Linked DNA regions of Ovis aries. The protein of the gene in region 1 purifies or fractionates together with the protein of each later gene. This does not show direct contact. Links are inferred from orthologs where the notes say so. Each region holds a gene or a part of one and is shown in the gene's direction. Other genes may lie near its edges.

The links.
Region 2: the proteins of ITGA3 (region 1) and CD9 purify together in Homo sapiens (affinity purification with western blotting; 3 studies listed by BioGRID and IntAct, with this or other methods). This does not show direct contact. The link is inferred for Ovis aries from reciprocal best matches to the Homo sapiens genes ITGA3 and CD9.

The regions. Positions count from the first base shown.
Region 1 is NC_056064.1:36,300,737-36,303,552, reverse strand, and holds part of ITGA3 (integrin alpha-3), read left to right. Parts: intron 1-1,918; coding exon 1,919-2,341; 3' UTR 2,342-2,371; coding exon of another isoform or gene 2,372-2,482; 3' UTR 2,483-2,816.
Region 2 is NC_056056.1:209,986,507-209,991,079, reverse strand, and holds the start of CD9 (CD9 antigen), read left to right. Parts: upstream 1-1,643; 5' UTR 1,644-1,784; coding exon 1,785-1,850; intron 1,851-2,247; exon of another isoform or gene 2,248-4,573. UniProt on the Homo sapiens protein: Integral membrane protein associated with integrins, which regulates different processes, such as sperm-egg fusion, platelet activation and aggregation, and cell adhesion.

The DNA.
Region 1 (2,816 bases):
GACTTTATTTTGGGGGCTCCAAAATCACTGCAAATGGTGACTGCAGCCAAGAAATTAAAAGACGCTTACTCCTTGGAAGGAAAGTTATGACAAACCTAGATAGCATATTCAAAAGCAGAGACATTACTTTGCTGACTAAGGTCCGTCTAGTCAAGGCTATGGTTTTTCCTGTGGTCATGTATGGATGTGAGAGCTGGACTGTGAAGAAAGCTGAGTGCCGAAGAATTGATGCTTTTGAACTGTGGTGTTGGAGAAGACTCTTGAGAGTCCCTTGGACTGCAAGGAGATCCAGCCAGTCCATTCTAAAGGAGATCAGTCCTGGGAAGCTCCAATGCTTTGGCCAAGGGAAAAAAAAAAAAGTTTATAGCATATATGACAGAATATTGATAGACATTTTTAATATGTAAAGAGAAAGGGTGGCATACATAGGCATTGTACGTATGGTGAAATATAACAGCAGTAAGATTTTTTTATATCATATGAGAAAATATTAAAAAGAAGAATCCTGTCTTGTTCTGATAAGGTAGAAGGAAATGCTATTGATTGGAATATAGATCGATGGATTCTTTTTAAAGATGAATTTGTCAATATCTATTAAATTTTTAGTTGTATATTTCCTTTGATCTTGTATATGATAATATATTAAGGAGCTAATAGGACAAATTTGCAAACATAAATACATGGGGATATTTTAAAGCATTGTTTATAATGGCAGAAAATTGGAAACAATCTAAATATCTTTCAGCATGAGATTGGTTCAGTAAATTCTGGCACATTTCCTACAATGACGTGCAGTCGTCAGAAGAGATTAGGTTGATCTTTATTAACCGACATCGAAAAATGATGAAAAAGTTAACAGAAGAGTGTGTATAGTACACACAGATCCCATTTATGTGAAAGAAAAAATATATATGTTTAATATATACATTTAAAAATATGAAATAATAAAAGTAACTTTTTAAGAAATCATGTACAGTCAGAAAAATATTTTTCTATAAATAAATATATATGCAGGGGCTTCCCTGGTGGTCCAGTGGCTAGGCCTCTGCACTCCCAATGCAGGGGGCCCGGATTTGATCCTTGGCCAGGGAACGAGATCCCACATGCAGCAATTAAGACCCAGCACAGCCAAATAAGTAAATATTAAACACACACAAAGGAAGTTTAAAATATATATATGTGTATATATATGCAAAATATGTACAATAACTATATTATAAAACCTGTAATATAATATATATATATATATATATCTTCATTGTAGGGGAAGAAAAAATGCTACTATATGCTATGCATTCTATTTTTTTGTAAATATTTGTGGAAGTGTTGCTCTATACCAGGTATTTCTCAAAGCAGTTTACTCATATTAAACACATTTAATCCTCCCAGCAACCTATGATACAGATATTATTAGCATATTCCCTATTTCACAGGTGAACAAAAGAAAGGTTAAGTAACTTGCCCAAGGTCACACAGCTAGTGAATAACATAGTTAGGACTTGAACCGAGGTAGTCTGGCTCCAGAACCCATACTTTTGGCTGCCCTACTATACTATGAGGTAGGCATTACGATCCTATCAGAGAGCATGAAATGGAGATTCAGAGAGGTGAAATTACTTGTCCAAGGTCCCACAGCTTGTGAAGGATGGAGCTGGTATCCAAGCCTGGATGTGTGGGTCACAAACCGGACTCTAGGCTGCCTCCCAGATCTGAGATCTTGGTGTCTGCCTCTAGGAGAAAGGAGAGGACAGAGGAATCTGCGCCTGTCAATGGGCTGGCAGGGGCTTTTCCAGTCCCTGTGTGCCCCCTACAGGCAATAAATCAAACAGCAGGGTTCTGGGTCCAGCTGAAACAGGAAGGATGAGCTCAGGGCCTAAGGGGGTGGACACATGGCTGAGCCCCTTCTCACCCCTTCCAGTTTTCCGTGGACATTGACTCTGACCTGGTGGAGGAGCTGCCGGCTGAGATCGAGCTGTGGCTGGTGCTTGTGGCTGTGAGTGCCGGGCTGCTGCTGCTGGGGCTGATCATCCTCTTGCTGTGGAAGGTTAGAACACCCAGCCCGCCACTGGGACTCCCTCTCTGGGACCCACTGCCAGCAGACCCTCACCAACTCTCCCTTCATCTCATTCCATCTCACCCCACCCATCACCCAAGTCCTCCCCACTTTCTCTCCAGCTCCTGGTCCTGGGTTAATGGGGGACTTGCAAGCCGGAAAGGGGAACCAGGAGCTCTGGCTCCTGCCACATCACCAAGCTGGGGCTGGGAACCAGGCATCCAGGCTCCCCAGCCCTCAGCCCCAGTTCATGAGTGCTGCTGGCAAGGACCCCCCAGCTCCCCCTGACGGCCCCTCCCCACCTCCTCCCCTCCGCAGTGCGGCTTCTTCAAGCGAGCCCGCACTCGCGCCCTGTATGAAGCTAAGAGGCAGAAGGCGGAGATGAAGAGCCAGCCGTCAGAGACAGAGAGGCTGACGGAAGACTACTGAGGGGGGCAGCCCCCACCCCGGCCCAGCTGGGTAACGCGGCCTCCGGTCCCTCTTCCCCAAGCCCCCAGCTGGCTGGGGCCTCTGACTCTCTCCTATCTGCTCCTCTTCCTTTATGGGCCCTCTCTGCACTCCACTCTGTCTCCAGCACCACCCCCAAAGAGCAGGTCACTGCCAGTCTCCCCTCCACATCCTCGGAGAGCCCGGGGTGTCTGCTCTCACCAGCCTCCCCACTGAATCCTTCAAGAGGGAGCCATAAACCCTCCCTGTGCCCCTTATGCTTTCTGGGGATTGGAAAGGGTCAAGGCTAGGCCCCATGTTTGTAGGCCACAAGACA
Region 2 (4,573 bases), on another chromosome or scaffold:
TACATTTTGAAATGATCACCACAGTAAGTCTAGTTATTATCTGTCGCTGTCCAAAGATATCACATAATTATTGACTATATTCCCTACATTGTACATTTCATACCCATGACTCATTTATTTTGCAACTGAAAGTTTGTACCTCCTAATCTCCCTCACCTATTTCTCTCCTCCCCCTACCCACCTCCACTTGGCAACCAACTGTTGGTATCTCTGTATCTGTTTCTGGTTAGTTATACTTTTTTTTTTTTTTGGATTCCATTTGTCTTTCTCTCTCTGATTTATTTCACTTAGCAAAATACCCTCTAGGTTCATCTATGTGGTTGCAAGTTTTCCTTCTTTTTATGGGTAATATTTCATCATATATATTTTTTTTTCTTTATCTATTCATCTATTGATGGACACTTCTGTTGTTTCCATATCTTGGCTGCTAGAAATAATGTTACAATGAACATAGGGGTGCAAATATATTTCCAAATAGTGTTTTCATTTTCTTTGGACAAATACCCAGGAGTGGAATTGCTGCGTAGTTCTATTTTTAATTTTTTAAAGAACCTCCATACTGCTTTCCATAATGGTTGTATCAATTTGTATTCCCTCTCAACAGTTTTGGGGGCTTCCCCGGTGGCTCAGATGGTAAAGAATCTGCCTGCAATGCGGGACACCTGGGTTCAATCCCAGGGTTGGGAAGATCCCCTGGAGGAGAGCATGGCAACCCATGCCAGTATTCTTGCCCGGATAATCCCATGGACAGAGGCGCCTGGTGGGCTGCAGTCTATGGGGTCGCAAAGAGTTGGATACAACTGAGTGACTAAGCACAGCCCAACAATCGAGGAGGGTTCCCTTTTCTCCACATCCTAACCAACATTTGTCATTTGCTGGACATTTTGGAGCAGAGGAGAAACACCCTAAGAACTCTGGCACAGGAGCTCAAAGATGTGACAGTGGGCAGTGGCAAGGGCAAGAAGGAGGGTGATGAGGAGAAGAGGCAAGAACAGAAGCCAGGCTACAGCCTTTTTCTTCTCTGGGGCATCTAAACCACAGATCCAGGAAGCAACCCCACATTGTCCAGCTCTCAGACCTATCACTATTCATTGATGGTATTTCAGGATTACTTCCATAAGCCCCTACGAATCCTCCCATCCGGAAGGCAAGCCTCCATGTGCCGAGTGAAGAGTGTGCTTCAGAGTTAAAGTGTACAAGGAGCCACCCCAGGGAGACAGAAACAGGGCAGTTTCTCTTCAAATCGGGCCCCAAGCAAGAAGAGCCCTCATTCTGCGCGCCACCTTGGGTAAGGGGCCTCTGCCCTCACCACCCACCGGGGAAGTTCTCCCTAGGGCAGAGGGCTCGGGAGGGGCAGAATCCAGGAGAGAACCGAGAGGAGTGAGGCCTTCACATAATTCCAGGATGAAATCGGCCAAGGATGACGGCCTAGAAAGACTCCAGGACGGTTGGGAGAAAAGGGAAGGCAAGGCGGGAAGTCAGGTCCGGCCAACTAGGTGGGGAGCACTGAGACAGAGGCGGGACGAGCCGCGGGCCCCCGGACCTGGGCGGGGCGTGGCAGGTGGGCCGGGGGCGGGGCCTGCGGGGCGTGGGCGGGGCGGGGCCGGGACCCGGCACATGCGCACCGCGGCGTCGCGCGCCCGAGGAGTGGCACTTTTTAAAAGTGCAGCCCCGAGGCCAGCCAGCAGCCGCGCGCACCTCAGTCCACAGCCCGGTCCCGCCCGTCCCGGCCTCACGCGGCCCCGTTTCACATCTGTCCAACCCAGGCCACTCTAGCTCGCATCATGCCGGTCAAAGGAGGCACCAAGTGCATCAAATACCTGCTCTTCGGATTTAACTTCATCTTCTGGGTGAGTGAGTGGACGGCCGCGCGCGCCTCTCGGGGTCCACCTGTCCGCCCGGCGCACTCAGTCCGCGATCGGTTTTGCCGGGCACTCGCCCCGCCTGCGCGGGGAAGACTCCTGGCGGGGAGGAGAGGGCTCTGCGGCCGCCAGCTAACTCCTCGGCCCGAGTCGAGACGGGCGGGGCGGGCGGGTTGATCCGGGGCGCGTCCGAAGCGAGGCGGGCGGCTGAAGAGCCCTGATGAGCTGCGGTTGGAGTTGGTGTATGCTCCCACCCCGAGCCCCTCAGAGTGCAGGAGGAAGAATCAGAGCACCCCTCTGCTGGGGACTTAAGGCCCTGATCGTGGGAGGCTGTGGCGGACTGTGCGGCTCGTGACCCGGGCGGGGTCCCCCGAGTATCCGGGGCCGCGAGGAGGGGAAGGATGCGGACGCAAAAAGGGACTAATGACTCGCCAGGGACGCTCAGCCAAGAGCTGTTGGCACGTTTGCACGGGAGGGGAAGGGACGCCCCAACCGCGGATGTCGGCATCCCGGGACCCCATTCGTGAATGAAAGTCGGGGTCCCTCCTGCATCCCCGACCTCTCAGACTGATTCTGAGCCGGCGTGAGAAAGTCCGAGCTCCCTCGAAACTACCTGAAAGACTAGCTTGTCTTGATTTTTTTTTTCCCCAAAGGGCGATAAGTATCTGGACTGGAGAGAACTCCGAGGCAGTTGGGGAGAGTTGGGGCCGATGCTTATCGGCGCCCGCGTGGGATGAGTCCCGTGTTTCTCCATTTCCGGGAGGGATCAGGTGGCCACCCCACCTCCTCCCCCGCCAGCCCACCCAGAAGCCGGGTGGGGCCACCGGGAGCGGACTGTCACCTGGGGAGGACGCAGGCCTGGGAGTTCCAGGACTCCCGCTGCCGGCTACTGGCAGCTTCTCAGCCTACGGCAGCCTGAGGCGGGCAGCGGGGAAGGGGAGAGGCCCCTCGGAGCCCTCCCTAGGGGGATTAAGGGGCCCCCCAGAGACAGAGGCAAGGGGTAGGGGACTTGGTGTCCTAGTTCCAGGGTCACTTCCCCCGCTCACAGGTGGACGGTTTTTCCCCTTTGCCATTAGGAAGGCATTTGGAAAGGCAGACCCTGTGCCGCTCTCCAGAGAGAGATGGCTATAGAAGCAGGGGCATGCCACAGGAGGCTTGTAACAAAACTACTTATTCACTCGGATCTGTTTCCCCATGAGCCCCAGGGGAAAGTCTCACAAGATTTGCTCCTCTCCCTGGAGCTGACAGGGTATGAGATGGACCTGCCCTTGTTCAAGTCATCACACCAAACACCTGCCCTAGTGAAGGTGGAGCATAGACGTGCCTTGCCCAGTCCAGGGCCTGCTCTAGGGAGACCCTCCATTCCCATCAGTCCCAGCAGCCACCCAGCTAGCTGCCAACCTGGCTTCCTCCTCACCCCCACCGAGACACCAGAAAAGAATGTGGAAGGCGGGCTAGCCCCGCCTTTCCCCACCCTAGTCCTTTAAGGAGTTTTCCTCTAGCCCCTCCCTAGCACCTTCTTTCCCCTGCTAGTCCCCTGGTGACTCCTTGGCTTCCCAGGTGGCGCTAGTGGTAAAGAACCCACCAAGAGACATGGGTTCAACCCCTGGGTCGGGAAAATCCCCTGGAGGAGGAGGGCACAGGAAGCCATTCCAGTATTATTGCCTAGAGAATGCCATGGACAGAAGAGCCTGGCAGAGCCTGGTGGGCGACTCCCAGACCTCTCCGGCAGCCTCCAGCCTGCCACCCCACCCATGTCCAGAGCTGCCCCAACCTGGGCATCAGTGCTGCTGATGGGCAGTGTCACCTGAAACAGAGATGACTCATTTTGGGTGTAGAATTAGGAATGACTTTCGAGGTCATCCTGTCCAACTTCTTCACAGTAAAGAAGTGGGAACCGGAACTGGGCTGATCCGATCAGCATCACGGGAACCAAGCCAATACCTCAGCCCCTAGATCCTTTAGGTCCTGTCCTCTTACTTCTCCATCGCAAAACCAACAAGGGGGCCTGGCAACGGGTGGTGTGGGGGGTAAGCAATAGCTGCATGAATCTGAATCAGCTATTGTTGTCGCTGTTGTTGTGTCGTCGCTAAGTTGTGTCCAGCTCTTTTATGACCCCGTGGACTGTAGCCCACCAGGCTCCTCTGTGTGTGGGATTTCCCTGACAAGAATACTAGAGTGGATTGCCATTTCCTTCTCCGGGGGATCTTCCCGACCCAGTGATCAAACCCACATCCCCTGCATTGGCAGGAAGATTCGTTACCACTGAGCCCCCAGGGAAGCCCATTGTTCAGTACTCCTGTATTAAGGTCCCTATAGAGATGAAGCCCTCATCTCCTAGGAGGTGATGGAGTAAAGGAACACTGTGATCCCTTGTGCAGCACGGTACAGCCTGCAAAGTCCTTTTCCAAGTTCCACAATACGGTCAGAGCAGAAAGCATTACCCCCGTTTTTACCAATGACCAGGAAACCAGTTCCCAGAGAGGTTCTGTAACTTAGCCAGGGTCAGATGGCTGGAGAGCAACAGAGATAAGTTTGAAAACAAGTCTGATGGGCTGCAGTGTACCCAGTGCACTTTCTGTCACCTCTAGCCACCATACCCAGTTGGATGAGAATGACAAGAGGGTGGCAACAAGCCCTCAAAAAGTGATTTTTAAGGGAAGCTGTGACCTGAGGGAACTCCTTGCTTGGATCGTTATGTCGTCACTTCC